2 linked regions of the Xenopus tropicalis genome follow. The protein of the gene in region 2 binds, or shares a complex with, the protein of the main gene of each other region. Links are inferred from orthologs where the notes say so. Each region holds a gene or a part of one and is shown on either strand. Other genes may lie near its edges.

Region 1 (2,895 bases), on a different chromosome or scaffold from region 2:
GAGAGAAAAAGTAAATACGTTACAAAAAGTCAAAATATTTCTGAGCCTTTTGGGTAAACGGTTACCAGCTAACAGATCCCATACCTGTACCAGCTCCATGTATAATATGACAAGGAGTGTCTTTTGTGTGCAGCACAGACACTCCTGTTAAACTGGCCATACACAGGCAAACTTCAGCTGGCGATACTACATTCTAATGTCCCTATCACATAAACAAACACTATGGCCATCTTATCAAGAACATACAAACTCCTTAAGTGGTTGATCGCAGTCCATCCATATTATAAAGACAAGAATTACTGTTTGTCTTGCTCAACTTTTTCCACATTACCGTTTCTTTCCTGGTAAGACGATATTATGTTTGTGAGTGCATAGGTACTTGCAAAAGGGCTGCTTCGGTTTATCACAGACACCTGCCATATAATTGGAAACATCAGTTTATGTTAGTGCTATGAATTTAATATTTCTACCTATGTTGTTATACAGAAGATGACCAATTTATTTGTTTGTTCGCTGCTATAAGTTACGAGGACTCATTTACTAATTACAGAGTGCACAGTTTTATTTGCCCACAATTCACCTTGCTGCTGCTTTCTTTACCTAGTTCTGTCACGTCCACATTTTTGCACCCCTGCACCTGACAGAGTATTGCAAAGAATGGCACATATGCAGCCCATTGCTGTCCATAAGAGCACCCCTAACTTTTGTGTCTTTTGTGAGGTGTAAAAAGGCATGTCTGTTTATATGCATCATATATGCAATATGCATCAGCAGCCCTGTACTGACAGCTTAAGGGTATACTCTGCACTGTGTACGGAACTGGTTCAAGTGCTAACTAAATGGCTTTCCAAGGGGTGCAATTTTGGACCCTTTATTAAAGTAGCACTTGTATCTGATCTACAGTATATGAGCCCTATATTGTTACAAGACAATATGCATATAACAAATGTTAGGGAAACACAAAGCTTACGTTGTATGTTGTGTCCAAACCCCTGTGATTCAGAGGCTGCCTTTGTTGTAGTTTCAAATCCCCATTCATATAAAGCTGAGATCCAGGAATTGGAGAGGAGTACTGGATTAAGGCCATGCTCTGCATGATAAATGTTGACATCTTCTGAAAAAGAAACACAATTTCTGAAATACTGCAGCGGACCTGGGACCCATGACCAGATAACAATATTTTGGTTACCCCTTCACCATGTGCAAAACTCCTGATTTCTACCACTATTCTATCCATATACACCTGACAATGGGAGCTCAAGGTGATTATTGATCATTAGTTAGCCCCTTTTGTCCTGCAGCTATGGGTTTTTCTTCCCTACTGTTACATCACTGCAGAAATGAACAGTACATGAACATTAGAGTATAGTAACATAATCTCATCCCACCCCATTTCCAGAACCCAGTGTGTGCTGACTTAAAGGAGAAGGAAAAGTCACTTGGGGGTGCCAAAATGTTAGGCACCCCAAGTGACTTGAATCGCTTACCTTCTACCCCGGGCTGGTGCCCCTGTATGGAGAGAACAGCACCAGCCCGGGGTAGCAGCGATCGCTTCCTCCTTCGCTGCGCGCGCGTGCGTGCGCAGTAGAGTGAAAAGCCGAACTTTAACAGAGACGCCGGCTTTTTCACTCTACTGCGCATGCGCCGGACTCGGAGTCGCAGCGAAACGAAGGTGGAAGGAGGAAGTGCATCGCCCCAGGTGCCCTGGGCTGGTGCGGTTTTCTCCTAATAGGGGCACCAGCCCGGGGTACGAGGTAAGCGATTCAAGTCACTTGGGGGTGCTTAACATTTTATCCCCCCCAAGTGACTTAGCCTTTCCTTCCCCTTTATGTAACTATGTCTGATAGGTGAAATTTTAATTTCGGACCACTGTAATCTTTCTTGTTAAAGAGCATATACGAATCCACTATTTGTCCAGATATCAACATATATTTCAGCCTAAAAGTATTACTTTGCCTTCATCTGTCCACAAAACATTCTTCCAGTATCCTCCTAGTTTGTCCACATGATTTTTAACTGTAGAGGGTCAGCAATATTTTTGGGGGAGAGCAGTGGCTTTCCCTTGCTACCTGCCATACACACCATTGCTGTTCAGTGTTCTCCTGATGGTGGACTCATGAACATCAACATTCGCCAATGTGAGACAGGCCTTTAGTTCCTTAGAAGTTACTCTGGGTTCCTTTGTAACCTCTCGGGCTATTAAACACCTTGCAGTTGAAAATATCTTTGATAGTCAATCATTTCTGGGTACAACCACCACAAATGTGTTGTAAGTGTGATCAGGCTTTGCTGGATCCCCGTTTTTTAAAAACAGGGTCTGTCACTCACACCTGATTGTCATCCCATTGACTGAAAACACCAGACTCTGCTTCACCTTCAAATTATATGATACTCCTAAGGATTCACTTACTTTTGCCACATACAGATATTATTGGATAATACATGACATGCCCAACTATAATAATTTTTGTTTCATTTGTTTAACTAGGTTTTCTTCATCTGCTTGAAAATCAGATGATGTTTTAGGTTACATTCATATAAAAATATAGCAAATGTTAAAGGGTTCACAAACTTTCAAGCACCACTGTGCATATACTCTTCTGTACTCACACTGAGCTGGTAGGAGAATGTCAGAATGAGCTGCACACCATAAATATTATCAGTGGGTTGCAGAGGAAGCTCCAGCTGGAAGTTCAATAAATCCATTTTACCATCTTGATTTCTGTCTTCCTCTCTTGCCTGTAAATAAACACCATAATGTAAGCAATAACAATGCCTTGCTAAGCTACTGAAACCTCTAAATAATTCTCCTGCTTAACTAAAATTACAGAACAACAAATCCTAAACTCAAATTTTGTTTTATGAGAAACATATGTATGAAACAGTGAACTCTAA
Region 2 (3,759 bases):
GGGCAGAACAGTCCTATTGGGTTTATTTAGTGGTTAAATGATTCCCTTTTCTCTGTAAGGGCTCTGGTACACGGGGAGATTAGTCGCCCGCGGCAAAACTCCCTGCTCGCGGGCGACTAATCTCCCCGAGTTGCCTTCCCTCTGCCATCCCACCGGCGAACATGTAAGTCGCCGGCGGGATGGCAGACGCGGCAGCGCGATTTCGCGCAAATCGCCCCGCCGCGTCTGCCATCCCGCCGGCGACTTACATGTTCGCCAGTGGGATGGCAGAGGGAAGGCAACTCGGGGAGATTAGTCGCCCGCGAGCAGGGAGTTTTGCCGCGGGCGACTAATCTCCCCGTGTACCAGAGCCCTAATAATAAAACAGTACCTGTACTTGATCCCAACTAAGATATAATTACCCCTTATTGGGGGCAGAACAGCCCTATTGGGTTTATTTAGTGGTTAAATGATTCCCTTTTCTCTGTAATAATAAAACAGTACCTGTACTTGATCCCAATTAAGATATAATTACCCCTTATTGGGGGCAGAACAGTCCTATTGGGTTTATTTAGTGGTTAAATGATTTCCTTTTTCTCTGTAATAATAAAACAGTACCTGTACTTGATCCCAACTAAGATATAATTACCCCTTATTGGGGGCAGAACAGCCCTATTGGGTTTATTAAATGGTTAAATGATTCCCTTTTCTCTGTAATAATAAAACAGTACCTGTACTTAATCCCAACTAAGATATAATTACCCCTTATTGGGGGCAGAACAGCCCTATTGGGTTTATTTCATGGTTAAATGATTCCCTTTTCTCTGTAATAATAAAACAGTACCTGTACTTGATCCCAACTAAGATATAATTACCCCTTATTGGGGGCAGAACAGCCCTATTGGGTTTATTTCATGGTTAAATGATTCCCTTTTCTCTGTAATAATAAAACAGTACCTGTACTTGATCCCAACTAAGATATAATTACCCCTTATTGGGGGCAGAACAGCCCTATTGGGTTTATTTAATGGTTAAATGATTCCCTTTTCTCTGTAATAATAAAACAGTACCTGTACTTGATCCCAACTAAGATATAATTACCCCTTATTGGGGCAGAACAGCCCTATTGGGTTTATTTAATGGTTAAATGATTCCCTTTTCTCTGTAATAATAAAACAGTACCTGTACTTGATCCCAACTAAGATATAATTACCCCTTATTGGGGCAGAACAGCCCTATTGGGTTTATTTAATGGTTAAATGATTCCCTTTTCTCTGTAATAATAAAACAGTACCTGTACTTGATCCCAACTAAGATATAATTACCCCTTATTGGGGGCAGAACAGCCCTATTGGGTTTATTTCATGGTTAAATGATTCCCTTTTCTCTATAATAATAAAACAGTACCTGTACTTGATCCCAACTAAGATATAATTACCCCTTATTGGGGGCAGAACAGCCCTATTGGGTTTATTTAATGGTTAAATGATTCCCTTTTCTCTGTAATAATAAAACAGTACCTGTACTTGATCCTAACAAAGATATAATTAATGCTTATTGGATGCAAAACAGACCTATTGGGTGTTAAAATTAATGTTTTATTGATTTTTTAGCAGACTTAAGGTATGGAGATCCAAATTACAGGAAGACCCCTTATCCGGAATACCCTTGGTCCCGAGCATTCTGGATAACAGGTCCTATACCTGTACTACAACCCCCAGTTGCACCTTTGGGAGGGCTGAGAGTTTTAGTTAAACAACATGGAGCGCTAAAGTGAAAGTGAAGCAATGCAACGCAGCAACTTCCGCTTTGGCCTTAGCAACCGCACAGAGGCGCCTATAGCAACCACAGGAACTCCATAGACATAGCAGTAGCGTAAGCAACAAATTCCATTCGCTTATTCAATGTAACTGTAGCACAAACTGCACAACATACACACACGGCAACACTGAGTTAGTGTATCAGCAGCACAGACCTGTGTCACCATCCTCTGCTTCTCCTCAGAGTGTCTCATCGCAGCTTAGTGGCGACAGCTCCAAGCTTGGAACCCGAACAATTGTCCCCTCTTCGGTAGCTGCGGTTAAGTCTATAGTTCATTCAATACAGAAATGTACAGGTTCAGAAAGAGAACGACTTAAGCGTCGGTGAGCGCCGCCATTGGCCGGGGGATCGCACTCCCAGCATGCACCGCGCACTGGGATAGTTCGGTGGGAGGGGCGTACTACTGCTGGGTGTTTGCTGTAACGTTGCCATGGAGTCTCTGTACCTACAGACTCAGTTCCAGCTGCTAAGGCTGGCATTAGTATGTGCTGAAATGTTTAGTGGTAGAGACTTCTGTGCAGATAAACCAAAGATTTGTTTATAATATAACCAGTGATCGAGATAAAACGTGCACACAAATGAGGTTTATTTCATTATAACCAAGCATGTTCTTATTGGGTATGGATCGCCCTTACTGTATTCAGTCATAACCAAAGGGGTTAGACCAGGGATCCCCAACTTTTTGTTTTACCTGTGAGCCACAGAAACATTAAAAGAAGTTCTTTGGGGAGGCCAAATAATGACTGTGATTGGCTATTTGGTAGCGCCGTGAGGACTGTGTCGCTGTGCAGGGCCGCCATCAAGGGGGACATCGGAGAGCTGGAGACTTGGCAAAGGAGTGGGGAGCTCAGGTGCTTGCATCTTTTCCCCCTTACACAGCTTTCTTTTATAAGGGAAGGGACAAAATCCGACAACCAATGCGCTGACTTTTAATTAACACATTAAATCAATAAATTGCTCATTATACATTATTGGTTTTTTTTTACAGCACAGGTGCCTGCTCTTTAATGATGCGAGATTTCCTTTTAGTGAAGGTATCACAGTGGGGCATGGAAACTGCTACAACCTGTTAAACTGCCACAGAAAATATCATTTCACTTCATTATAATGGGGGGAAAGCAAAACATTGAAATTCACGTCTTTATTTATAAGTATTGTAGGGAGAGATGGTGCCTATAGTAGCAGTGGGATAATAGCCTCTGGGAAGGGACTGTGGCTGTGGGATAGCAGGTATAGTAGGGAGAGATGGTGCCTATAGTAGCAGTGGGGGGATAATAGCCTCTGGGAAGGGACTGTGGCTGTGGGATAGCAGGTATAGTAGGGAGAGATGGTGCCTATAGTAGCAGTGGGGGGATAATAGCCTCTGGGAAGGGACTGTGGCTGTGGGATAGCAGGTATAGTAGGGAGAGATGGTGCCTATAGTAGCAGTGGGGGGATAATAGCCTCTGGGAAGGGACTGTGGCTGTGGGATAGCAGGTATAGTAGGGAGAGATGGTGCCTATAGTAGCAGTGGGGGGATAATAGCCTCTGGGAAGGGACTGGGGCTGTGGGATAGCAGGTATAGTAGGGAGAGATGGTGCCTATAGTAGCAGTGGGGGGATAATAGCCTCTGGGAAGGGACTGGGGCTGTGGGATAGCAGGTATAGTAGGGAGAGATGGTGCCTATAGTAGCAGTGGGGGGATAATAGCCTCTGGGAAGGGATTGAGACTGGAATAGCAGGTATAGTAGGGAGAGATGGTGCCTATAGTAGCAGTGGGAGGATAATAGCCTCTGGGAAGGGACTGTGGCTGTGGAATAACAGGTATAGTAGGGAGAGATGGTGCCTATAGCAGCAGTGGGGGGATAATAGCCTCTGGGAAGGGACTGGGGCTGTGGGATAGCAGGTATAGTAGGGAGAGATGGTGCCTATAGTAGCAGTGGGGGGATAATAGCCTCTGGGAAGGGACTGTGGCTGTGGG

The links. The genes of interacting proteins can lie anywhere in the genome.
Region 1: cc2d2a (region 2) and tmem231 share a complex: the UniProt entries of both Homo sapiens proteins name them as parts of the tectonic-like complex. The link is inferred for Xenopus tropicalis from reciprocal best matches to the Homo sapiens genes CC2D2A and TMEM231.

What each region holds. Positions count from the first base shown.
Region 1 is NC_030680.2:64,236,914-64,239,808, forward strand, and holds part of tmem231 (transmembrane protein 231), read right to left. Parts: intron 2,740-2,895; coding exon 2,611-2,739; intron 1,115-2,610; coding exon of another isoform or gene 1,112-1,114; coding exon 971-1,111; intron 414-970; coding exon 332-413; intron 1-331. UniProt on the Homo sapiens protein: Transmembrane component of the tectonic-like complex, a complex localized at the transition zone of primary cilia and acting as a barrier that prevents diffusion of transmembrane proteins between the cilia and plasma membranes.
Region 2 is NC_030677.2:27,856,314-27,860,072, reverse strand, and holds the start of cc2d2a (coiled-coil and C2 domain-containing protein 2A), read right to left. Parts: upstream 2,191-3,759; 5' UTR 1,994-2,190; coding exon 1,955-1,993; intron 1-1,954. UniProt on the Homo sapiens protein: Component of the tectonic-like complex, a complex localized at the transition zone of primary cilia and acting as a barrier that prevents diffusion of transmembrane proteins between the cilia and plasma membranes.